Drosophila melanogaster: one gene and its partners. Each later gene encodes a partner of the first gene's protein in a complex. Each region holds a gene or a part of one and is shown in the gene's direction. Other genes may lie near its edges. The genes, in order: mle, msl-2, msl-3 and msl-1.

Region 1 (7,575 bases):
TTACTTTCACTGTTTGTTTATTGTTTGTAGCTGCGAGATCAGCGCTTGGGTGTTGGCACTAAACGCCGCTCTCACTCGATCCCCTCTTCACTGACTCTCTGCACTGCTTACAATTTGTGCAAGTTGCTATCGCCTTTTCGCTCAACTCTGTTTTACTGGGCACTAACGAAATTAAATGCTTGCCCACGACCAAACGTGTGCCTGTGTGTGTGCGTGCGTGAGTGTTTTCTCACTTTTATCTACATTTGCTCGTGTGGGTGTGCGTGATGCTGGACTGCTGGCAACCAACAAAAATCCAGCTGTGTACCGGCGTTGGGGCCGCAAAAAAGAATTCAAACTAGGCGATTAAATGGGTGACTCGCGATTGCACTATTATTTAGTTGGGCTGGCATCCGTATTCACATTTTAACTCAAATATCGTCCTCTTTTTCCCATCGCGTTGCAAAAAGCTGTGTGACCAGTACGCGGACTCGAGAAATACCAAAAGACTGGGGCAAATATACTATAATACTGAATTTCAGTCATCATCTTTAAAATACTAATTTATTTCAACAGCTTGGATATTTTTATTTGAACAGAAATCAATGGTCGTGTCGCTGGTCAAGTTTAGTGGTCTTCTTGGTGCCAGAAATGACTATTTAATATATGATTATTTATGCTGATTATTATTTTTTTCATCGTAAATTAGCGTAAATTATTTAAGGATTCTAAGACCTGCTATGATATGAGGAATCTTTCTTGACGGATTGAAGGGCATAACATAGTCATATGATATCAATTATTCGATAATATTCTGTCCTACACATCTTACGCAAAAAACGGCTCAAAATTCGTCTACCAATTTGAATTGGAATTCCGTTTCTTTTGTTTTGCAATATTTCATTTATTACTTATACATAAAAGACTTCTCGGCACATAGGCATATACGTCAATTCAAAACAAACAGAACTGCATTACAACATAACTCCCTGATACAAGCTCATCCTTCAACATACCACATCAAACTCCTTTCAACAACACCACATCACACAACAGGAAAACGATATTTCTTATTAACAGTCTCAGGCTTGATCACATCAACCTTACAAATGACCATTACAAGAACAGGTCCCCCATATATATGTATATGTATTTATATGCGCTCTTTGCAACCAGTTAGACGTTAATCCCATCCTAGCATACTGTTCTTCCCTTTCGCCACATAGAACAGTTGACATCAACACAATTAGAAACTTTTTAAAAAGCTCCAACCTAATTTAAAAAATATAAAATGGAAGGTGCTAGCTGCTAATGCATCTAGGTTTCAGTTACCTTAAAATTTTATACTCTACGTTATATTTAAATAAATAAATAAAAGTATATATATAAGAAATTTGTCTGTTTATTTATAGTGCAATATATACAAATATGTCTAAGTCTCTCTATAGGTTTCTTTTATTTTAGATTAAATTACATTAAATGTTTTTATATCTACACACACTGTTCTATTTTATCCGTTCCTATTTTGATAGGCGATTCAAGACGCGTTAGTGTTTTGTAAAGCAACAAAAAAATTAATCGATATCAGAATAGACATCACAAAAGAAATAAATTTAATTTGAGCTCCGTAGTTGATAGAAAGTTTATTGAAAATCTAAGAATGGATATAAAATCTTTTTTGTACCAATTTTGTGCTAAGTCGCAAATAGAACCAAAGTTTGATATTCGCCAAACGGGTAAGTGGTTATGTTGCACTCCCCCAGGCGTGTTTCCCAAGTAGCAGTTTAATTTATAGGTCCCAAAAATCGCCAGCGGTTCCTTTGCGAGGTTCGTGTAGAGCCAAATACCTATATTGGTGTGGGTAATTCCACTAACAAAAAGGATGCCGAGAAAAATGCGTGCCGTGATTTTGTCAACTACCTAGTGCGCGTGGGCAAACTGAACACCAATGATGTTCCAGCGGATGCTGGTGCTTCGGGGGGCGGACCTAGGACTGGTCTGGAGGGTGCGGGCATGGCAGGGGGCAGTGGACAGCAGAAGCGAGTGTTTGATGGTCAGTCGGGTCCACAGGATCTGGGTGAGGCCTATCGCCCTCTAAACCACGATGGCGGTGACGGCGGTAACCGCTACTCAGTAATTGATCGCATCCAGGAGCAGAGGGACATGAACGAAGCGGAGGCTTTCGATGTCAACGCTGCCATCCACGGTAACTGGACCATAGAGAATGCCAAAGAGCGACTGAACATTTACAAGCAGACGAACAACATTCGCGACGATTACAAATATACACCAGTGGGCCCGGAACACGCTAGGTATGTGCTTCCTTTTCAACTTTCTTCGGCCTGCATTTCGGATTTGACCGAATATGGCCTACGGCCAAATCTGAAATGCAGCCCATAATCATGTCGGGCTGTGACCAATTTGATTTGTGCAGAGCAGCGCCGGCAGAACGATGTGGTACGATACTCCGAACTACAAGAACCACGTCCAGCTTCCTTGCGTGGGGTCTGTAAGCAAAACGGACGCCCATGCAACGCGGCTTAGCTGACAATAATTCAAGCGCTGACTTTCCAGCTGCGTCTAACACATTAGTACCACGCCGTTCTGTCGGCTGGCTCCTTCAGCAGTCCGTAGACTCCCACGATAGCCCGAGGGTAAGTTCCGGATTTGATCTACATTACCAGTCCAGATTTTTTCAAAAAGTTCTTTTAATGTAGGAGCTTTTTGGCCGAATTGTCCATTTATGTGCCGGCGCTCAATCGCACGGTGACGGCCCGTGAGTCGGGTTCAAACAAGAAGTCTGCCAGCAAGTCATGCGCCCTGTCCCTGGTGCGCCAACTTTTCCATTTAAATGTGATAGAGCCCTTTAGTGGAACTCTGAAGAAAAAAAAGGATGAGCAGCTGAAGCCATATCCGGTGAAGCTTTCGCCAAATCTGATAAACAAAATTGATGAGGTGATTAAGGGTTTGGACCTTCCTGTCGTAAACCCGCGCAATATCAAAATCGAACTGGACGGTCCTCCGATTCCTCTCATTGTAAGTAATACGAAACTAGAAAACTAAAATAAAAATGTATCAGCAATTTGAATTAAATTTCTTATCTCAGAGTATTAAAAAACAGTTTAGAGATTTTATCAGACAAAGACTATTAGCTAAATGTTGTATACCGGTTTCAATATTCTTGATGACATCCAACAGTACTTTATAAAGTATATATTATTATATTGATTTACGTAAGTCATATACTTAGGAATACGCTAGTAACTCCCACATCGTTCAGTCCCTCAAAAATATTTGATATGCCGAAACAACAATGCAAATACTTTAACTCGATTAATTTGTACTGCATACTTGGCTGTAACATTTGTATTTTTTCTATATATAGCTCTCAATACGCGTCGACAGACACCATAATCGACCTAATCCAATTCTGTGTTCAAAAGATATTTCAAAGAAGGTTTTACGCTACGTTAGCATAACTAAAATCTGCGTCTTTAATCTTAACTTTCAAGCTTTTGTTGTGATAGACTTGGCTAGTGATCTTGAACAAGATTATTTCTGTTATCTCTTACATTCATACCCTTACTATATGAGCATAGGAATACGCTGCCCTACCCAAACCACCTTTTTTTTGCGAACAAAAAATGTAGTGTACGATGTAAAATATTTTCTCCTAGGTGAACTTAAGCCGTATAGATTCCTCGCAACAGGATGGCGAAAAACGTCAGGAAAGCTCCGTGATTCCGTGGGCTCCTCCTCAGGCAAACTGGAATACGTGGCATGCCTGCAACATCGACGAAGGCGAACTGGCAACCACCTCTATTGATGACCTTTCGATGGACTACGAACGCTCGCTGCGTGATCGCCGCCAAAACGACAACGAGTACCGACAATTCCTCGAGTTCCGCGAAAAGCTGCCCATTGCAGCGATGCGGTCGGAAATTTTAACCGCAATTAATGACAATCCAGTGGTAATCATTCGTGGAAACACAGGGTGCGGAAAGACTACCCAGATTGCCCAATACATTCTTGATGACTACATCTGCTCCGGCCAGGGCGGGTACGCTAATATTTATGTGACCCAGCCTCGTCGCATTTCAGCCATTTCTGTGGCCGAGCGCGTAGCTCGCGAGCGGTGCGAGCAATTGGGCGACACTGTAGGCTACTCGGTGCGATTTGAGTCTGTGTTTCCACGACCCTACGGCGCAATCCTCTTTTGCACCGTGGGTGTGTTGCTGCGCAAGCTGGAGGCTGGCTTACGAGGAGTGTCGCATATTATTGTGGACGAAATCCACGAGAGAGACGTGAACAGCGACTTTTTGCTGGTCATCCTTCGCGACATGGTCGACACATATCCGGACCTGCATGGTAAGCTCGAATAAGGTGCAATATTTCTAACATAAATCCGTATGTATAACCTGCATTCAAATTTCTTGGGGTGAAACTCTTCGACAATTGTTGATTATACTTATATATTTATATATACATACATTTGTATATATGTATTGTATATATACATACATTTACATGTATAAAAAGCAATGTTGAGCAGATTTTGAGCCGCGAAAATAACTTATTTTGCACTAATTCACTGGCTTAATTAATGAAGATTATGATTATATTGTTTGTACCGGATCCGCCCAGAGTGTATATGTTATGTTCTTAATAGTCGATTTGTCAGTTTGTTCCATTGAAAATTTGCATTGCCAATTGTTTGTGTTTCATATTTAATGTAGAGTTGACTTGCCAAAATTACTTATGCCCAACAAAATTACTATTCAGAACTTAAAACTTATATGCATTACGGGTCATACATTTCTAGTCCTAATTTAATATGATATGACTTTTAGAAAACACTATAATTAATAGAAACTCTTCTATTGCAGTTATTCTTATGTCGGCCACTATTGATACAACGAAATTTTCCAAATATTTTGGCATCTGTCCCGTATTGGAAGTACCCGGAAGAGCATTTCCCGTGCAGCAATTTTTCTTGGAGGACATTATTCAGATGACAGACTTTGTGCCTTCGGCGGAGTCGCGCCGAAAGCGCAAGGAAGTGGAGGACGAGGAGCAATTGCTTTCCGAGGACAAGGACGAGGCGGAAATCAACTATAACAAGGTGTGCGAGGACAAGTATTCACAAAAGACTCGAAATGCTATGGCCATGCTATCCGAATCGGACGTTAGCTTTGAGCTGCTGGAGGCATTATTGATGCATATTAAGTCAAAAAATATTCCCGGTGCTATCTTAGTATTCCTGCCCGGTTGGAACCTGATCTTTGCGCTTATGAAGTTTCTGCAAAATACAAACATTTTTGGTGATACATCCCAATACCAAATTTTGCCGTGCCACTCGCAGATTCCACGAGACGAGCAACGCAAGGTTTTCGAGCCTGTTCCAGAAGGCGTAACCAAGATTATACTTTCTACCAACATTGCAGAGACTTCTATAACTATTGACGACATTGTTTTCGTAATTGATATATGTAAGGCGCGCATGAAGCTCTTTACTTCACATAACAACCTAACCAGCTACGCCACCGTTTGGGCAAGCAAAACCAATTTGGAGCAGCGCAAGGGCCGAGCTGGACGTGTCCGACCAGGCTTCTGCTTCACACTCTGTTCGCGTGCCCGCTTCCAAGCGCTAGAGGACAATCTTACGCCGGAGATGTTCCGCACACCGTTGCACGAGATGGCGTTGACCATTAAATTACTCAGACTGGGCTCCATTCACCACTTTTTGTCAAAGGCATTGGAGCCACCTCCGGTAGACGCAGTAATCGAAGCTGAGGTGTTGCTTCGCGAGATGCGCTGCCTTGACGCTAACGATGAACTTACTCCATTGGGGCGCCTGCTGGCACGCCTCCCAATTGAACCAAGACTTGGAAAGATGATGGTCCTCGGCGCAGTATTTGGCTGCGCCGATCTAATGGCCATTATGGCTTCGTACTCTAGCACCTTCTCAGAGGTGTTTAGTCTTGATATAGGTCAACGTCGCCTGGCAAATCATCAGAAAGCGTTGAGTGGTACCAAATGTTCCGACCACGTGGCAATGATTGTAGCTTCACAAATGTGGCGGCGCGAGAAACAACGCGGTGAGCATATGGAAGCTCGGTTCTGTGACTGGAAAGGACTGCAAATGAGTACTATGAACGTTATCTGGGATGCCAAGCAGCAGTTACTGGATCTCCTTCAGCAGGCAGGATTCCCAGAAGAGTGTATGATATCGCACGAGGTAGACGAAAGGATTGATGGGGATGACCCCGTGCTGGATGTGTCCCTGGCGCTGCTGTGCTTGGGTCTCTACCCCAACATTTGCGTGCACAAGGAGAAGCGCAAAGTGCTGACTACAGAGTCTAAAGCAGCGTTACTGCACAAAACCTCGGTGAATTGCAGCAACTTGGCCGTCACATTTCCGTATCCGTTCTTCGTTTTCGGCGAGAAGATTCGCACGCGAGCTGTTTCCTGCAAGCAACTATCTATGGTCTCGCCCTTGCAGGTGATATTGTTTGGATCGCGCAAGATTGACTTGGCCGCCAACAATATAGTGCGCGTTGACAACTGGCTTAACTTCGACATAGAGCCGGAACTTGCGGCCAAGATTGGTGCCCTTAAGCCGGCCCTGGAGGATCTTATCACGGTGGCGTGCGACAACCCTTCCGACATACTTCGCCTTGAGGAGCCCTATGCACAGCTGGTCAAAGTGGTCAAAGACCTTTGCGTTAAGAGCGCCGGAGACTTCGGACTGCAGCGTGAATCAGGAATTCTGCCGCACCAATCACGTCAGTTCAGTGACGGCGGAGGACCGCCCAAACGAGGTCGCTTTGAGACAGGACGCTTTACTAACAGCAGCTTTGGTCGCCGTGGAAACGGCAGAACTTTTGGAGGAGGATATGGAAATAATGGAGGAGGATATGGAAATAATGGAGGAGGATATGGAAATATTGGAGGAGGATATGGAAATAATGCAGGAGGTTATGGAAATAATGGTGGATATGGAAATAATGGCGGAGGTTATAGAAATAATGGTGGAGGATATGGAAACAATGGCGGAGGATATGGGAACAAGAGAGGTGGATTTGGAGACTCATTTGAAAGCAATAGAGGATCAGGCGGCGGCTTTAGAAATGGCGACCAAGGCGGCCGCTGGGGTAACTTTTAACGGATACATAAAAAAAATGTATTGGTTTTTTCAAAAACAAAAAGAATAATAAACATTACTATTCGCATTTCGATATGCTGAAGGGATTATACAAATAAGACGCATTGAATCTTTTGGTTTTTTGGCATTAAATACGCATGTGCGATCCGAATAGATTCACGAGTTAACGTATGTAAATAGTAACCAAATATGATAGTTCCGCTGACATTCCCTAACCTGTTGCATACATACATATATTGCTGGAATTTCGTTTGTGAAGGCGTGGAAATCGTTTATTGTCACAAAATGAGATCAAAAACATTCATTCTATAAAGGCTTTTGGTGAACCTGTGTAATCATTATTTTTTATCTCTGCTAGCATTTTAGACGATTACTGATTTCGCAATTAGACCTTTTTAAAACATATGTCATGACAACAATATATACAATAA
Region 2 (6,160 bases), on another chromosome or scaffold:
GCCGCTGGTCTCGATTAGCTGAGCTCGAAAGTAATCTAAGATAGCGTAATTCTAGAAAGCTTGAACAAATTTCACTATTGCCTATCTATTGGTATCTATTTCTAAAAGTGTAATTTTTTCTTTTTTTAAGAAAAGCAAATGATTTATGGACTGTGCATTCCTTTTTTTAAAAAATGAGAAATTATGGAACTCTTTTTGAAATTGTCTAAATTTTCGAAAAAGTCTGAAGAATTACAGTGTGAGTTTTATGATTTATCACTATATTCTGTAAACTTATTGCAGTACGCAGGCAAAAACTTTATTTTACTCACTGGAACAACTTAACCAAGGCTCTTAATCTTGAGAACTATTAGTTTTAAGCTAGTCTATAGCCAAAATTCTATATCAAACGCCAATATTAATATTTATTTTAAGAAAAACATGACTAAGAATAAATGCAACTAATAGACAAATGAATTGAAACTGCTGTAGTAATAAATAATTCCTAGTAGCTCTTACCTTATAATTTACACTGAAACAATTGAAAGAAAGCTCAATCCTTGGGAATATCGTTTTACGGCGTGTATATTTTGTTTTAACGGATAATGAAACTAGAAAACATCATCATAAAAGCGGAGTTTAATGGGCGGCCTCCTCCTTCATGCCACTGCCCACTGGTCCATGACGACGCTCCCAGATCAGACGATGCTTCTGCTTCATGTACGCGGTCTTGGCATTGGCGTAGCCTCCCAAGTCGCCATCTATAATGGGTTATATCTCGTTATATATCACATACAACTTTAAAGAAGATGGGTAAGGGATTCCACTCACACTTGATGAACCAGTTCTCGGTGGCCTTCTCGTACTGATCCATCAGCGGCCTGCACTTGACCATGTGATCGGGTGCCTCGTAGAGGGTGCAGTCCTCGAAGCGCTGGCGCAGAATGTTGACAATCTCGTTGTCGACCATGCGATCCCGGCGGAACTGCTGATCGGCCTCGAAACGGCAGACGGCATCGTCCGTGTAGCACTGGTCGATCGTCGGAACGCGGCGGAAGCGCTGGTGGTACCAATTCTGCTTCTGCTGGTTCGGCTCCACAATGCTCTCTGTGGGATTAACACAAGGCGCATTAATAAAATATACTAGCTGTAATGCATTTCTGTTGAAAAACATGATCCCGCTTTGACTAGATGAACTATATAGTAACGGACGGCATTTAAGGGCTGCCGACTAGTATTCTAAGAGATTTAGTTTGCGCTAGCTAGAAATTACTTAAAACGGTTGATTATAAACATTTTAGCATTTCAGCAATACAGTGTAAACAAAAACAAATGGACTGCGAGTTGAGGTTATGTCATTATGTAATTGTCTGGAATTTGTCCGGTTTTTCCGATCGTTGGCCAAAGGAAACGCAAACTTGCAGCATCTGGAGACTCCCATGACCATGGCCATTGGGAATCCCTGTGGACTACATACCACGGAACCAAGTTATGGGTCCATCGATGACATTCAGCACCGACTCGGCAAAACTGGCCATCGGACTGCGCGGTTCCGGCATTTTCTGGCTCTCCTACCACCTGGCGTAAGCGGAAGAGCTGTTAGTAAATAATTTCCAAGGTTTTCCGCTTTCCTTTGACGGAAAATACTTAAAAAACCATATTTACTTGAAAAACTAAGTGTTAAAATTTGTTGTAGGACCGCAGTTCGTAACTGCGAAAATTCCTCAGAGCACTGAAATCAGCTGTTCGAGGTAGTGGTCACACCTATGCCGCACTGCAGCTAGCATGTTCGCACTGGCACACTGCGGTCACACTGGCTTCGCTCAGCAAAATATTGCTTGGGTAATTTTTTTTTTTAGTTGCTAATTTATTGTTTTCAACGCTGTTGCACAGTGTGCAGCATAACCATTAACAATGACTTGAGACCTCTCAAACGTAAACCAATTTTTTTTTTTTTTTTGCACGTGAAACATAGTGATAACGAAGCCACAAAAGTGAAACCAACAAAAAGCGTTCCAGTAAAGTTACCATTAGATAATGAAATCGAGGATTAACGCGGTCTAAGCATGTGTAACTGAGCTCCTACGGGCGAGGAATTGCAGGTAACTAGCCCAGGAGGCACCAGGTAGCGGAGCAGGTGGCGTGGGTCGGACCGACAAGGCACTTACTTGGCCAGCGGAGTCTCACTTTTGGGCTGAAAAACGTAAACAAACAGCGGCGTGCGTACAGTCCCGGGCATAAAAATATAGCCATCATGGCCCAGACGGCATACTTGAAGGTGACACGCATCGCGATGCGCTCCGCTTCGAATCTTTCCAAACGGCGGGTGGAGGAGCTGAACTCCGGGCTCGGCGAGCTACGGCAGCTGCTGTCTTGCGTGGTCTGCTGCCAGCTGCTGGTGGATCCCTACTCGCCCAAGGGCAAGCGGTGCCAGCACAACGTGTGCCGGCTGTGTCTGCGCGGTAAGAAGCATCTGTTTCCCAGCTGCACCCAGTGCGAGGGTTGCTCCGACTTCAAGACCTACGAGGAGAACCGTATGATGGCCGCCCAGCTACTGTGCTACAAGACGCTGTGCGTCCACCTGCTCCACTCGGCATTATTTGGTGAGCTGGCCGGGATGCGGCCCCAGGTGGCCAGGGAGCTGGTGCCTCGCATCAAGCTGCCTCCCAAAACCACACAGGAGTTCATTCGCGAGGGCTCAAACATCTCCGACACTTTTGACATCTTTCTGCCCCAGCCGGATTTGCCGTTCCTCAAGGACATGCCCACATCGCTGCCCGCAGAGACGCCGCCTACGTCGGCGGTCACGACTCCGGAACTGCCCTATGATCACCACCTCAACATCAGCGACATTGAGGCGGAGGCGGCGGCCACAGCGGAGCAGGGTCACTTCTCGCCGCTTCCCCTGCTGCCCACAGGATCTCGCATGGGCATGCTCTCTCACGCCGGGCAAATAGTCATTGCCACCGAGAGCTCGGAGTCGGGCTTCATGGACCAAGCGTGGACGGATCAGGTAGACCTGTCTGGCACGGTTTCGGTGTCCAAATACACAAATAGCGGCAACAACTTTGCTGTCTCCTACGTGATGCCCACTTCTGCGACCACGAAGTTCGATCCACAGGAACTGCAAATCGGCCAGGTGGTGCAAATGGCGGACTCCACTCAGTTGGCTGTGCTGGCTGCCGTTGAGGAGACCGTCGAGACGTCCACACAGTTGACTGTGCTCTCCACCACCGTTGAAGAGACCGTTGAAACATCCACGCAGCTAGAAGTGCTTACCTCCGCTGAGGAACCCAACGAAATCTCTGATCAATTGGCTAATCTGCAAGTTGAGGAATCTGATGAGGCTCTGGTTGAAGAGACCGTTGAAGAGGCCGAAGGGACCTCAATCCCGTCAGAGGTTGTAGCTGAGCACATGGAGGAGGATCAACACTTGGATGTGCACACTTCACAGTCACCTACACAAACCGAAATGGAGGAAGCAGTGGAGGAGCATGTTGCCACAAAAACACAATTGGGTCATGTGCAAACAGAATTGCAGGATGCGGAGTCGTTGCAGAAAGATTTTGAGGACGCAAAGGCAGCGGCTGAAGAGGCGAAGGAGAAGGAGAAGGACCTGCACGCAATCAGTGCTGAGCTGCAGAAGGAGGACAGTGACGAGCCAACACTTAAGCGAAAGAGAACCCGTACTCTCAAAGCGTCACAAGCTGCCAAAATTGAGCCTGTACCGTCTGAGGTCAAGACTAAAGTGCAATCTGGAAAGGGCGCTCTTCGCAGGATTCGGGGCAAGGACAAGGAGGAAAAGGTGAAGCCTCCGAAGCCGAAGTGCCGCTGCGGTATCTCCGGCTCGAGCAATACCCTCACCACCTGCCGGAATTCCCGATGTCCTTGCTACAAGAGTTACAACAGCTGTGCCGGGTGTCATTGCGTGTGCTGCAAGAATCCGCACAAGGAGGACTACGTTGAAAGTGATGAGGACGATGATTTGGAGGATTTCGAAATGCCGAAGGACGTTCCAGAGCCGATGACTCAGTCGGAGGAGCCGGTGGTAGCTGAGCCTAGGCAGGAGGAGAACAGTATGGCGCCGCCAGACTCTTCTGCCCCCATAAGCCTAGTGCCGCTAAATAATTTGCAGCAATCCCAGCATCCTTTGGTGCTTGTTCAGAATGAGAAAGGCGAGTACCAGGGTAAGTTACCTCATCGCTGTGTTAGACCTATCTAACCCTGTTCCAATTGCAGGCTTCAATATCTTCCAGGGCAGCAAGCCCCTTGATCCGGTCACCGTTGGCTTCACTATTCGTGTCCAGCTGCAGCACACCGATGGCTTCGGTTCCCTTCCCCAGTATGCTTATATAATGCCAACAATTGACCCGCCGAATCCACCAGCTCCATCACTTTCGCCACCACCGCCTCCTGCTCCTGACAGGGAAGTCATCGAGCCACCGGCCAAGAAATTCAGGACCAGTCGAACACGCCGAGGAAGGGCCAACTTCTCGGCCCTCGACACGGTGGATGAGCTTGTCAGTGGCGGATCCAGGAGCAATTCTGCCGCTGGCGACAGATCATCGGCCACTGACAATGCCCATTCACTGTTCGAGGAGATCATGTCGGGCTCGGATGACTTGTAAGCAAGACGACTCATCCCTATATGTTTGTTTTTTTATGTGCTCAGTGATGTCCAGGTATCAATCCTTTAATAGATAATTTTTATGTACGTTATGGATGGTCGAATTCAGCACTGAATTGCATCCATAACGTGGTATCGTCTTTGATCCTCTTATCATACCCGTTATTCGTAGAGTAAAAGGGTATACTAGATGTGTTTCCGACCATGTAAAGTATATATATTCTTGATCAGGATCAATAGTCGAGTCGATCTGGCCCTGTCCGTATGAATGTCTCGATCTCAGGAACTATAAAAGCTAGAAGGTTGAGATTAAGCATATAAATTCTAGAGACATAGATGCAGCGCTTGGTTGTTTACCCATGTTGCCACGCCCACTTACCGCCCAAAACTTCCACGCCCACAATTTTAAATTTTTTCTCATTTTATTTCCCAATATCTCTTGGATATCCCAGAAAAATGATGAAATTTCGCGTTCGTATTTCCACTAGCTGAGTAACGGGTATCTGATAGTCGGGAAATTCGACTTTAGCATTCTCTCTTGTTTTTAACTTGTGGTTTCGTTATGCTATATATTCCCCCACTCAAACAACTTCCACTCAAATCAACTCCCAAATATCTTTTAGGAGCATTCTACAATCTGATTTTTGTAATCATCCAGCAAACGTTTCCAAAACTCAATTTTTTTTTAATACGTATTAAGCCAAAAGTCGTATACATAACTATTTAAAGCAATTCTGCAGCTGCAGCAAAGATAATCTATTTAAGAGTAAAGCATTAGTCAAAACTAAAGATTATTTTCGTTCAACGAACAGCGAATTATAGATTGCTTTGCCCAAAATGTGGATGCTGTGAGCTAAAAAAAACCTTTTTTTTTAATAGGCTAAGACATTTTTTTGAATAGGCTAAGACTTTTTTTGAGCATGAATTTTTTTGAGCACGTGAACCTAGGATTAAGAACAACAATTCAAGTAAGCCATATATACCCATATTATATATGCGAACATATAACTATTAAAATATTCAAATAAAAATGAGCATTGCTACTACAGAAAAATGCGCGATTTTCTTTGGGTTTCAAAACCGTTTTCGAACCGTAACACTCTTTGCCTCATGCAAGCTGCTAGTTCATGATTTCTAGAACATCGTTCCTGGGAGTGGAGTGAGTTCCATGAGTGCCTACAATGTGCTGGCCGCTTCCGCTCACTTAAGTCACTCAATCTCAATTCCGAGTTTAATCAGCAGCTCCGCGAGCAGAGTCGCCCTTAGATAAGCGGATCGCCGCCTGCGGCTCATCATTATCTTTTGATTAACGCGCCAGTCGACAGTGCGTGTTTGTTCCGAGTAGAGAACGGAGGCTGGCGCGTTTTCTTCCATTTTCCAACTGATAAGCAGAAGCTCCAGCTAATCCCCGAAAGATGAAGCCGTTGATAGTGGTCGTGCTCGTGGGCCTGATGGCAAGTGGCTGCCACATTGTTCACTCCCAGGAGCCTGGCGATGGTAAGACGAATTCCAGTCTGAGCTCTACCGGAACTAAGCCACTCATTAATGACCTTT
Region 3 (4,769 bases), on another chromosome or scaffold:
ACAGCTCCACTTGGAAACTTCCGTAGGTTGCTGGAATAGGAAATGAAAGAATAATCTTGATTAGAACAATAACTATATAAAATTGTGTTATGAAAATAAGAGGGTTACTTACATTTGGCCTGCTGCTTCTCCCTTGCCGCCTGCTCCACAAAGATGGAGCTCTTCTTGGGCTTATCCAAAATCGAGGCATCCACGATGGATTTGTTATCGCCCAATGCTCGCTTGTTCGCCAAATCACCGGCCTTGGGCTCAAAGCGGGACACACGTCTCAGGATCTTAACCACGATACCACCAGATTGAGTAACGAGCGTGAGGACGTGATCCTCCATGCCCATTCGTCCGTACAGCATGGCATCCACCGTCTCCTCGAGAACAAACTCGTCGACGAGGTAGCGCTGCAAATAAAACTTGACCACTCCTCCTCTAAGGGCAATGGCCACCAGGGTGAGTCCCAGATGGGTCAAGGGCAGCGGTAGGAGGCAAACGGGTAGATCGGACATGGGCACCTGGTATAACAGCTTGCCCCGCTTTGAGTAGCACAGATAGCGATTGTCCATGGTGGAGGCGATTATCGTCTGATCGATGGGCAGCAGTAGGAGGCCGGTTAGGGGGATGCCGAGCTTGAAGATCTCCTGTCCCTCCGATTGGCTTTTCCGCAGGAGGTAGACACCGCCATTTCGCGTGGCCACCACGATGCAGAAATCCGTCTCAAAGGTTCCCTGCACGGAGATCAGGCTCGGCACGGCCGTCTCATCATCGCAGGCCTTGCCCTGGTAAACCAAATTGAAGCCCTGCGGCTCCAGGATCATGATGTGCCCGGTATCGGTGGCCAGGACCAAGTGGGACGGGGGATTGGCATCGCTGGAGATGCGCTTTATGCAGCACATGGCCACAATGTTGCCAACCCGACCCACTGGGGAGTCCTTGTGCGTGGCAATGAAGTGCTCCCGCTCCTGCTCGCCCATTTGCAGAAGTCGCTGCGATTTCCGCGACAGCTTGGAGTGGTCTATGGTTTTTAGGGAGTCAAGCAGGGCGGGATGGGCACTTGGCTTCACAACCGGCAGTTTTCGCCATACCTCCAGCTCCAGATCCTCGGAGTCCTGTGCGGGAATCGTGTACTTGAAGTATGGCTTTAGGTGACGATAGAAGAGCACTGACTCAGCGATGGCCACGGCAATTACTGGAAAATTGTATTCATTATGGAATCTAATTTAAAAATATTAAAATGCAACGTTATTTCTACCCGGCGTCTTGGGCTCCGTTTCGTCGATGTAGAGACTTTCAATGGCCGCTGGAATCCCCGGCAGTGGCTGCTCGTGCTTGAGTTTAAGACCACGGAAAACCTTCAGCGTGGCAGTGGGCTCCTCGGCGGCATTGTCCAGTGAAATGTCCGCCGCCAGCAGCCGGACATATCCGTCGCACTGCACGTCGCTCAGGGCCATGCAACTGGTGAGGGTGGTGAGATGCGGTGGAGGAGCCTCCTCCGCCGTGTCCACGTGAAGCCAGTTGGGAGCACCGGCCATGGCAGGATCTTGGTGAAAAATTTGCAGCACAGTGTGAAAACGAACAGGTGATTCAGGACATGCTTTTGTTTTGGTTTTTCTTGTCCTTAGCAACCGGGATGACAGCACATTTTTTGTTACTTATTTGGGTTTTTTCTTAAAAACACAAAATGATCGTCAGCATTATTCTTAAATGCTAACAGGGTAAAGCTACGTATAACTAAAAAATCATTTGGCAAAAGGTAAAACTGTGATCAAATTACTGATGATAGAAAATTTTATTTAAATTGGCCGCCAAAAATGCATTTTGTCTGGTCACACTTAAGGCCGGCCTGCTAAAGACGTGCAAGCATCGACAGTATGTGTTATCGATAAGTGCGAGGGAATATTCGATACCCACGTCAATTGCTTATCGCAAAAAACATTCGTTATAAATATCATCTCAGCGACGCCAGCAGTTGAATTCAATATTTAACATTTTGTATACATAAGTGACTGACTACGGCCCTATTTAACTGCAAGTAATGACGGAGCTAAGGGACGAGACACCGCTCTTTCACAAGGGCGAGATAGTCCTTTGCTACGAGCCGGATAAATCGAAGGCCCGTGTTCTTTACACCAGCAAGGTAAATACACATGCACACACACACACACGCGCGCGCATTGAAATGTCAAGCAAACGTCGTAGGCGAAGTTTTCACAAATGATTTTCCGTTTCCCGCAATTTTCCGTACATGCCGCAGGTGCTAAACGTCTTTGAGCGCCGGAACGAGCATGGCCTGAGGTTCTACGAGTACAAGATTCACTTCCAGGGCTGGCGTCCATCCTACGATCGCTGTGTGCGCGCCACCGTTCTATTGAAAGACACCGAGGAGAATCGCCAGTTGCAAAGGGAGCTGGCCGAAGCTGCCAAGCTGCAAATGTAAGATAACCCCCTAGACATGCGTGGAATACCTCTCTAACGAGTTCCCCCTTCTTTTTCGCACAGTCGTGGTGACTACTCCTACAAGGGCACACCCGATAAGCCATCGGCCAAGAAGAAACGCGGCGGAAAAGCGGCCCACGTTGAGGAGCCAATAGTGGTTCCAATGGACACGGGACATCTTGAGGCGGAGCACGAAATGGCGCCCACTCCACGAGCAGCGGGCAACCGGACGCGGGACAACAGCGGTGGCAAGCGAAAGGAAAAACCCCCGTCCGGAGATGGCCGATTAAAGGGAAACCGGGGCAGACAAACAGAGACCTTTTATAACAATGCCATAAATGATGTATCGGTCTATAACCATGTGCCACAGGAGGATCGCATTATGATGCGAGTCAGCGAGCGATTGCGAGAGCTTATAGAGTACGATCGGAATATGATCAAGGTACTAGGCAAACAGCACGCACTGCCCGCCCGCGTGCCCATCGTGACCATCATGGAAAACTTCGTCAAGCAGCAGGCCGTGGAGCTAGCCATTAGCATTAAACAGGACAGCTCGAGGGCCAGGAACACGCAGAGTCGCAATGCCAGAATGGAGCGGGAATACGATCGCGTTATGTCCACGTTGGTTACCACTCAATATCAGACTTAACAACCCACTTATACTCTTACTTATTAACAGTGTCTGCATGCTGAAGGAGGTGGTAGACGGATTGCGTATCTACTTTGAGTTCCACGTGGATGACCACTTGCTGTATACGGAGGAGAAGGAGTATGTCCACAACTACCTCACAGACGACAACATGCGCAACTGCAGCCTAATATTGAACAAGTCGTACGAGTATATCAATCCCAGCGGTGACACGGAACTGATCGGTCTGGACGGCACGCCAGTGGTAGAAGGGTCGGGCGACACCAATGGACAGATCGGAGTTATTAATATCGGCGGTCCGGAGTACGAGAAGCAGTTGCAAAAATGCCTGCTCTACATTGTTACCGCCAGCGGGAAAAACACTGCGCAGGCCTATGAGAGGACTTCCCCATATACGGCTGCCTACAAACTGCCCGTGGAGATGCGTGGATTTCTGAACGAAACATTCAAGTGGCGGCTTTTGTCAGCGGAATCGCCGCCAGAAAAGTCCATGGTCTTTGGCGCTCCCCACCTGGTTAGGCTAATGAGTATGTACAATCTTTCTTGCATTCTATAACACACATTAATTCATGGTACTTGCAGTTAAAATGCCCATGTTCTTAAACGCATCGCCGATCAGCAACAAGAAGCTAGAAGATCTACTTCCCCACCTCGACGCCTTCATCAAGTAAGTCTAAGACCCCTCCCTAGTCCATCACGAAGCTAATCTGTTGGTTTTTCAGCTACTTGGAGAACCACAGGGAGTGGTTCGACAGGGAAAACTTTGTTAACTCCACTGCCCTGCCCCAGGAAGATCTGCAGCGGGAGCTGTTGGACTCCCTGGATGGGATTGCTGCTTAGCTTTAGTTGATCGTAGTTATCTAGTTTATTTATTATTACGATTAAAGCTTATGCTCTTTTATTTAAAGATTTGTAATTGTCGTTTTGGTTTCTTCAACTACACACTTTGTAAACAACGCACTTCTATAAAAAAGTTTCCTAATGTGATCGTATAATCGAATAATGCCTATAACTATATATGTTAAATATTGAAAATACGATTTTAACATTTTTTTTTGTTTTTTTTTTTTTTTTTGCTTAACCTAAGTTTTAGTTGAGTAGTACATGCTAGTATTTTTGTCATGCCTTGTTTTTTGTGCTCAAATATATTTAAGAGTTGGAAAGTTGTTGTCTTTTGTATTAAGGATTTGCGGACCTTGAGTTGGAATGTGCAGGGAATTCTTAAGATTTGTATAATTTCTCAAAATATTGCAACTGTAACAACTATGTGTGTGCTGATTTGTGTTTCAGATCCTGCTTAGAAATTCGAAATTGTCGCTTGGACGGCTTGGAGTTGGATGCATTCGCGTTTGTAACATGTGTAAACTTGGGACGTTAACTTGGACGATGACTGAACTGGACTGGACTGCCGGCCCTCACTTCTGTCGCTTGGTGGCACTGCTGGCCGTGGGTCGCATGAAGCTGCTCACGGATCGACTGCTGCTAGTGCTCCTCTGCTGCGGACTGGGGTTCGCACTCATCCTGGCCTGCTGCTGCTGGTTCAGGGCATTTTTCACCAGCACCACGCTGCGAGCGGCGCTCATTCGGGACTGTGACTGGGGTTGGGACTGGGACTGGTTTTCCTTAAAACTGGTGCTACCATGGATACTCGATTTCGGAGCCGTGTTGGACATCTTGCTGCGCACCAAGATCA
Region 4 (7,613 bases), on another chromosome or scaffold:
TAGATATTAAGTACCGCGCATTAACTTTCAACGTAGCTTATTCATTTATTTTTATAAATTATCCTTTGAAAATTATAAAAATATGCGTTTTTATATCATAAATATACACTAACTTTTACTTCCGCTCTCCTGCTGCTGCTTGGCCTTAAGTCGCTCCTGCGCCAGCCTGCGGTTTTCCGCAATCCTGGCCATCTGTTCGTTGGATAATTTCTTAGCCGCCGGCGTGGGAGGCTGTGAGGGAGGCAGCGGCTGACCATAGTCGCTGATGTCCATCGATGCCAACGGAGCTCCATTCCGATCGAAGGCCGGAGCCACAGAAGCTCCACTTCTGTCGAAGGTCGCATTTACACCGGAGTACGGCGTGGACATTACAGCATTGCCGCGGGAGAATGACGGAGTAGCCAGCGTGCTGTTACTGGAAGCAGTAGACATTTTCCACTGCTGCGGGCTGGGAGGCGCCAGCCTGGACATGGCAATCTGTTCACCTAGCAGGGCGTCGAACTCATCAAAGGGTTCATCGCCGGCACCTTCCTGTTGCTCATCCTGCGCCTCCTCCAGGGCCTCCGCTTCGTGGGCGCGCATCTGCTCCAGCTGACCGAGTCGATATCGCGCCATGTGCACTTGGAGGGGTTTCTTCTTGCCCAGCCGTTCGATATTGTTAAGCACATCGTCAAAGGTGTAGGTGGGATACATACGATGGCCCCAGTGCTGCAGGCGGCGAAGCACCTCGTCGAGATCGGTTTTCTCGTAACCCTTGCCCTTGAATTTGATGTCCTTAAAATAATCTTCGATGGTCTGGATGCCACGAGGACCTCGAAGTGTTTCCACAGTGAGTCGCGGTCGGGGATTTCTCACAGCTCGCTTCTTAGGCTCCACTATCTGGGCATCCTGGCTACCAGGTTCTACGCCGTTGTCCTCGTCGTCCGCAAACAGCTTTTCGCCTTCGCCATCGCTGGGCAGCTGATCCGGGTCAGTCGGAATGTTGTCATTGAATAGGTCATCCACACCATCATCTCCGAACAGGGATGCCATAGAACTAGTGGCCGAAACTTAAATACCAAATAAACAATCTAACAAAATTTTGGCGCCAATTTTTGTTCTTCTTCTCTATCTACCATTCACAGGCGACGCTTGCATAAGTCACAGGGGGCTGCCAACTGAACAGCTCTTTGTTCTTTTAATTTTCCGATTACATAACTATTTGGTCTTTCCCAAAGGCTATTTTGATTTGCTTAGACATATTTTCATTAGTGGGTGGCACTAAAGGTAATTTGTACAGCCAACCCGGCTTTTGCATTGGTGGCAGCAGACATAAGAGATGGCAGCGTGACACGTTTTTTTTATCACTAAGCGACACATTGGCGTCACGAGTTTTTGTTATTCTATTATATTTATACCATTATACAAGGAAGGATAATTCATCCAAAGATTGTAGTTATTTAAATTTAGTGAAATATTTAAAAGGAGTTGGTAATGTAATAAAATTACCAAAAAAAATAAAATAAAATCAATACATTATTAGCTAGCTAGTTTCTTTTTCATCTATTTTCTCATTCCAATTACTCATACCACATAAAAATTGAAAATAATTATCCGGGGAGCAACGGAAGATTATTATTTACGTTGAGAGAAACTGTCCTCTTTTAACTGCTATCCTTGTGGTCTGGCAGAGTAAGAAATAAAAATGTGTTTAACGACATTTAGTCGGAGTTGACGAGCTGCCGCTCTTTATTCTGGTAACTGCAAATTTAAGCTGAAACTTAAAATGATTCTTAAAGCTAACAAAGACTCCGGCCCAATGCTGTCTCAGCACTTTGATATTATGTTTCATACACTAAGCCAACTGTACTAGTTCGTCGGCTCGTGTTAACTTAGCTATTAGCTATTATGTGCAACAAAGTACAGTTTCGTGAAAATATTTTCACTTCGTGACTGTCGTGCTCAGCTCGTGCATCGCAGCAAATTGCCATCTCTATGCCCCCAATCAACTCTGCGCTTTGGCGAAAAGTGGCAACGCCAGCAAAACGCCATACTTTTAAGAGCATTTTCGGGGCGACTTTACATTGTGAGGACAATTGTGGAAAAAGCGGTGAAAGAACGTTCAAAAACGAACCGAAAAACTGCTGCCTAAATGCGGTCACCACGTGCGATAAGAACGCCACGTTTAAAACGATAAATCCATTAGATTCTGGCCAAGAAAAGAGCGGTTCTTTTGCGAGGGCGAGCAAGGAAAATTTAGTGTGGTGCGAAATTGTAATCGGGATTCTACGCATTGTACGGCGTATCAGCTGAAGAGATTGTGTGCACCCCAAGCGACGCAAACAAAACCAAAACAAAACAAAAACATTTGGAGAATTATGAGATCGTAGGACCGACGGCACGGGATTCAATTCGACTGCCATGGACAAGCGATTCAAGTGGCCGCCCAAAAAGCGGGCCAACTACTTGGAATCGCCCTATCCCCACATACCGTCGCGTGGCCGCCAAAGGAATCTGCACGGCCATCCCAATCAGACGCAGCATCTTCATCAGCATCCCGGGAAGATCTATGAGCGCCAGCAATATGGCAATGGTCGTGGAGGACATGGCGGGGGTAATAACAACTACCGAAAGCTTTTGCATTCGCTGCCAGCTGAGCATGGTGGCGGAGCCATGGCTCCTCCTTCCTCCGGCGGAACCGTGTGTGCCGGCGCCGATATGGTCAAGCTCATCTCGGAGAACAACAACCTGAGGCGCATGGTTATGTTGAACTTAAACCTGATGCAGGAGCAGACGGACAGCATAGCGGCCAAGGACAAGGAGCTGGACGACCAAAGCGCTAAGATGAGCGTGGTGAAGGCGCAGAATGAGGAATTAAAGCAGGCCGTTGCTCAGTTGGAGGCCGCCAACCAGGAACTATGCAAACAGCTGCGGCGAAAGAACCAGCGAAGGAACGACAATGACGACGACGACGATGATCCCCCACTGCCACCTGCTGCCCCGCAGCAGAAGTTGATACGTTGTCATGCTGAGACGCAAACTGTGTTTCGGGAGCGGGAACAGGGCACACAAACGATAGATGCGCAGCCTCAATTCGCGAATGCACTTCCCAGGGGTATCAACATGAAGGAGTCTCCCGCTCTGGACCATCACGCTGGAGCGGTAACGAATCAGCCAGCCAGCAAACGCTCGGAGAGCAAAGGCCGCGGTGAATTCAACGGTAAAAAGGTGAGCACGTTTATTCTCCAGCGCATGAATCAGGACTTCGAGCACCACATCCACGAGCAAACGGAAGTAGCAGAGGAGCACGAGATGGAGGCACATAAGGAGCAAATATCTCAGGAAGAGGACCAACTGGTCGCTGAGGAAGATCATCTGCATATGCAAGAAGTGCACACCGAGGAAGTCGTTGGAGGCGATATCTTTCATGATGCTTTGGAATCAATTGAAATGGAAGTGGTCACCGAAGAGCTGGTTGATATGGAGGAGCATGGACAGTCCGTGGATGCCAACGGCCATATCGAGGAGGATGATGACGAGGACGACGAAGATGACGAGAATAGTGATAAAGACGATGACAGTGAAGAGGATGATTATCCGTGGATGCATAGCGATGCGGATGTAAACGCCAGAACTGAGGAAGAGCTCTGGCAGAATCAGGTATGTTTAATGTTATTATTTAATTAAAAGAATATATCGAGCAATCCTTTACTCTTTCAGAATTACCTTTTGGAATTGGACCCGACGGAGGAGAAGACCTGTGCGCCTTCGGCCCATTCAACTCCCAATCACCAGCAGAAGTCTTCGACACAGGCAGAGATAAGGAAAGAAGGAAATCAGAATCGGATAACTGAAAAGTTGTTGCAACTAAAGCCTGAGCCAATGGTAGATGCATTAGAAGCGCCGATTCTCCCGAAGTGGGTGGCTTTTAAGAAAAAGGATAAGGAACATGAATCAGTCCCCGAGTCCCCAGAAGTACCCAAGCAGCAGCCGCATCAGGAAGATGCCATCGTTGATCATAATGCAATAAAGAATCAGTTGGAAGTTCCCAAGCCGGACTTAAAACCGAAGGACCAGCCCAAAGACGAACAGAGGCAGGATGGGCAGCTGGATGTTCGCGTGGAACCACAAGAGGATGTTCGTAAGGTACAGAAGGAAACTCTGAAAAGGCAACCAGAGGATGCACCTAAGCACCTTCCGAAAGCGGTAGCCCCAAAGGTTACGAAAACATCCTCTCGAGAAAGCACGTTGCCCAAGGCAAACACCGCTGACATAAAAGACGCTCCCGCTCAAAAAGTAATAGCCAACCATCAGTCCACCAAGACGCAAACGGATCCTGTAAAAACGCAGCGTTTGCAGGTTAAGATCAGGCAGTATGAAATGCATCCTGACATGAGAACCGGCTCCTCCGCCCCGTCTGATATTCGGAAACAAAAGAACGTTGATCCAGTTTCGACGCCCGAGACGAAAACCATTAAAAGTAAAAGTATGTTGGTCAATGATAAAAAGACCACGTCGGAAACGTCTCAGAGCCCAGATCAAGAAATAGATGTGGAAACAGTTAGAAGAAAACTGGCGGAACATTTAAAAAAGGAGCTCCTAAGCCAGAGTCATTCGTCACAGGTTACGCTCAAGAAAATAAGAGAGAGAGTCGCCACAAATCTAATATATCCACCACCCAGTGCACCAGTATCCTCAACAACAATAACCCCAGCGCCTACGCCGTCAACGACACCAACGCCTGGCTCAACGCCACAGCATGCGGTTACATCCTCAATGGACCAGGAAATATCTGCAGCAAAATCGAAATCCAAGGCAGCTGAACAAATAGCAACTCCTCTGACACCTCAATCTAATAGCAGTGTTAGCAGCACCACTTCGACTATCCGAAAAACGCTAAACAACTGTTCACCCCACACGTACAGCAAGGCAACGGCGAGATCGGGAAAACTGCAGTCCAGATTCCGCACTGCCACGTTTCCGTACAGCACGAGAACGTGGGAGGATCAGGAGTTCCACTGTGACAACGAGTTCTTCCTGGAGGAGGCCGACGAGCTGCTGGCGGATAACCCTAGTCTGGAGATACCCAAGTGGCGGGATGTCCCAGTGCCACCCAGTTCGGATAAAATTGACACAGAATTACTGAGCGATGCGACCTTCGAGCGCCGGCACCAGAAATATGTGAAGGATGAGGTCGATCGAAAGTGTAGGGATGCACGTTATATGAAGGAGCAGATACGGCTTGAACAGCTTCGGATGCGACGGAACCAAGACGAGGTGTTGGTTGCGCTGGATCCTCTGCGCGCCTCCACTTTCTACCCGCTGCCCGAGGACATAGAGGCCATCCAATTCGTCAACGAGGTGACAGTTCAGGCATTCGGCGAAAACGTGGTCAACATGGAGGCGCGGGATGATTTCGGTGTGCCTTGGGTGGATGCAATCGAAGCGCCAACCTCCATAGCCAGGTCCAAGGCACTGGCTGAGCCGGTGGCAACGTTGGCTAGCAAAAAAATACCCACCACTGCTGCCGAGGCGAGGCATCAAGAAAATCACTCCTCCTACGTGTTTCCCAAGCGACGCAAGCGCCAGAAGAATCGTTAGCCAGGAAACGCCTGGGGGATCTGATACTGGAGCTAAGCAGAAGACTGTCGGTTGGGGGAAGTCGTTGCGTTTGACATACTAATGATTTTCAGTTTTAAATCATGAATTATTTCTTAAGCTTAACGTGAAAGCACCAGAGTTAACAGTAACGATTACCACAGATCGTCTAGAAGTCAAATAATCCAGAGCAGACGATGTTTATTGTATATATGGTTCCTCAACTGTCCGTTTTTATTTGTGTAATAAAATGAACGGAACGCTGAATTCTGGAACATTAGAAATTCTTTGTTATAGAATCTATAAATTTATGTCAAAGTTTTGTCGTTTCTTATGCGATGAGAGATCTTAAAAGGCAAGTAAATTGAGCTGTCCTATTCAAACATTTTTCTATTAAATTGTTATCATATTTATTTCCTTGAAATATAAATAATTCGATCTTATATTAGATGTAAATGAATCCAAATGTTCGTCGCCTGGTCTGGAAATGATTAGTTTTTAGTTAACGTCTTGCAATTGAAAAGAGTTTCACCCTTGCTTGTTTCCAATGTACGTAAATTACTTAGTCCCACACAGCATGTAATTCAAACCAGTCGCTTAGTTAGATTGGTTAACTCATCTCAGCTTTATCACCTTTAAAATCGCCCGCACTAAAGTGATAAGAACACGAAAGATATTCACATAAGTTATATTGGGCATTTTTTTGGAGAAAAACAATGAAATTCGTAGACTTATATTTTTAAATATTTTTTTTCTTTAGCCCTTATAACCATTTTTTTTGTCTTTGTTTATACTGTTATATCTGTCGATTCTCGAATGCAGACAACGTGTGTGTTGCAAAGAGTTACTCAGGTATATCTCTGATAATTTGTCTTTTTTTTTAGGATTTGATTGTGTAAAAATTGAGTGCGAGTGGTTGTCTGCTTCGAGTAATCAAATTATACATTGGATCTATTGTTTTATTTTATTAACTTCATTAAACTTGTTTTATGTTGTATCGAACAAGAAAGGCCGTTAAGATGAAAACTAGATTTGAAGAATAAATATAAAACTGATTCCCGAACTGCACACCCGTTTGGCCTTATGGGCACCATGTATTTTTGGCTAAATATTGTTTCGTTTAACACTTCTTCTGTTTGACTTTCTGTCGCAATGATATGGAGCCTGCCAACGTCCGGAGAAATCAAATCACCAGCTCGCTTTCGAGTGGCGTCTTATTTTTGTACATTTCGATAGGTGTAAAGTCGGTTACTTGTAATATAGCGTTAAGTAGGCACTGTACCCAAACGCATAGAGATAATTATAATGTAACAAAGTAAATACGATACGATGTACATTGTCCAGGAAAAGGAGGAGCGGAGGGTGGATGAACTTCGTTCAACACCATTTTACACCATTCAATGTAATTAGCGTTAAATAGTTCAATTTACTGAAGCTTCAACTAAAAATCAATTCGAAATTAATTGCCACCATTGTAGAGCCCTAAACAAACTCACCTACTGTAAGAATAAATGTACTACATACAATGTATTTGTATTTGTTTAACAAGTTTTATTGTAAAGATAACGATAATAATATACAGGATAAAGTAAATTGTAAAGCAACGAAATGCAATCAATACTTGGACTTGCAACTTATTTTGCACAGGTGATATGTAAATGAAATTCTAATAATTGACAATGGGTTTATTTAACAGGCCTCAATTGATTTTCCAATGACCTGGCATCGCTTGCTTCTGGTTTCCTTAGATGTCTTTTTGTTTGCGATCATCTCGATATAAACTTGTTTAGGGGCTAATTGCAAATGTATTTAATATCTTAGAAAATGCTTCATTATACTCTATATATTGGCTGTGACAATTTTATCTGACCCTCGTTACCTAATGGAAAACATAACATACAAAATCTTCAACAACCAGAATAGCTGGATTGAAAATCAGTTAAAATACCTTTAAAAAACGGAAAAGCCTAACGGAATTTTATATTATTTATTGCTCTGCGTCAAGTACTGGTGTCCAGTGCTTGCCCACAGCTCAT

Evidence for each region.
Region 2: mle (region 1) and msl-2 share a complex: the UniProt entries of both Drosophila melanogaster proteins name them as parts of the male-specific lethal (MSL) histone acetyltransferase complex.
Region 3: mle (region 1) and msl-3 share a complex: the UniProt entries of both Drosophila melanogaster proteins name them as parts of the male-specific lethal (MSL) histone acetyltransferase complex.
Region 4: mle (region 1) and msl-1 share a complex: the UniProt entries of both Drosophila melanogaster proteins name them as parts of the male-specific lethal (MSL) histone acetyltransferase complex.

What each region holds. Positions count from the first base shown.
Region 1 is NT_033778.4:5,974,759-5,982,333, reverse strand, and holds mle (maleless), read left to right. Parts: upstream 1-1,555; 5' UTR 1,556-1,639; coding exon 1,640-1,715; intron 1,716-1,774; coding exon 1,775-2,291; exon of another isoform or gene 2,292-2,633; intron 2,634-2,696; coding exon 2,697-3,015; intron 3,016-3,656; coding exon 3,657-4,347; intron 4,348-4,865; coding exon 4,866-7,144; 3' UTR 7,145-7,240; downstream 7,241-7,575. UniProt on the Drosophila melanogaster protein: RNA helicase component of the male-specific lethal (MSL) histone acetyltransferase complex, a multiprotein complex essential for elevating transcription of the single X chromosome in the male (X chromosome dosage compensation).
Region 2 is NT_033779.5:3,461,713-3,467,872, reverse strand, and holds msl-2 (male-specific lethal 2), read left to right. Parts: upstream 1-1,760; 5' UTR 1,761-1,821; exon of another isoform or gene 1,822-1,954; 5' UTR 1,955-2,233; coding exon 2,234-4,166; intron 4,167-4,218; coding exon 4,219-4,607; 3' UTR 4,608-5,655; downstream 5,656-6,160. Other genes in the region: Pif1 DNA helicase, read left to right, coding at 1-22; ND-PDSW (NADH dehydrogenase (ubiquinone) PDSW subunit), read right to left, coding at 619-740, 811-1,086, 1,457-1,538; CG3246 (uncharacterized protein), read left to right, coding at 6,022-6,103. UniProt on the Drosophila melanogaster protein: Limiting component of the male-specific lethal (MSL) histone acetyltransferase complex, a multiprotein complex essential for elevating transcription of the single X chromosome in the male (X chromosome dosage compensation).
Region 3 is NT_037436.4:7,122,680-7,127,448, reverse strand, and holds msl-3 (male-specific lethal 3), read left to right. Parts: upstream 1-1,915; 5' UTR 1,916-2,026; coding exon 2,027-2,128; intron 2,129-2,245; coding exon 2,246-2,424; intron 2,425-2,490; coding exon 2,491-3,048; intron 3,049-3,106; coding exon 3,107-3,603; intron 3,604-3,658; coding exon 3,659-3,743; intron 3,744-3,798; coding exon 3,799-3,916; 3' UTR 3,917-4,236; downstream 4,237-4,769. Other genes in the region: BBS1 (Bardet-Biedl syndrome 1), read right to left, coding at 1-30, 113-1,180, 1,244-1,523; form3 (formin 3), read right to left, coding at 4,492-4,769. UniProt on the Drosophila melanogaster protein: Component of the male-specific lethal (MSL) histone acetyltransferase complex, a multiprotein complex essential for elevating transcription of the single X chromosome in the male (X chromosome dosage compensation).
Region 4 is NT_033779.5:18,683,213-18,690,825, reverse strand, and holds msl-1 (male-specific lethal 1), read left to right. Parts: upstream 1-2,025; 5' UTR 2,026-2,400; coding exon 2,401-3,639; intron 3,640-3,699; coding exon 3,700-5,580; 3' UTR 5,581-7,106; downstream 7,107-7,613. Other genes in the region: CG10336 (uncharacterized protein), read right to left, coding at 109-1,032; CG31751 (uncharacterized protein), read right to left, coding at 7,561-7,613. UniProt on the Drosophila melanogaster protein: Component of the male-specific lethal (MSL) histone acetyltransferase complex, a multiprotein complex essential for elevating transcription of the single X chromosome in the male (X chromosome dosage compensation).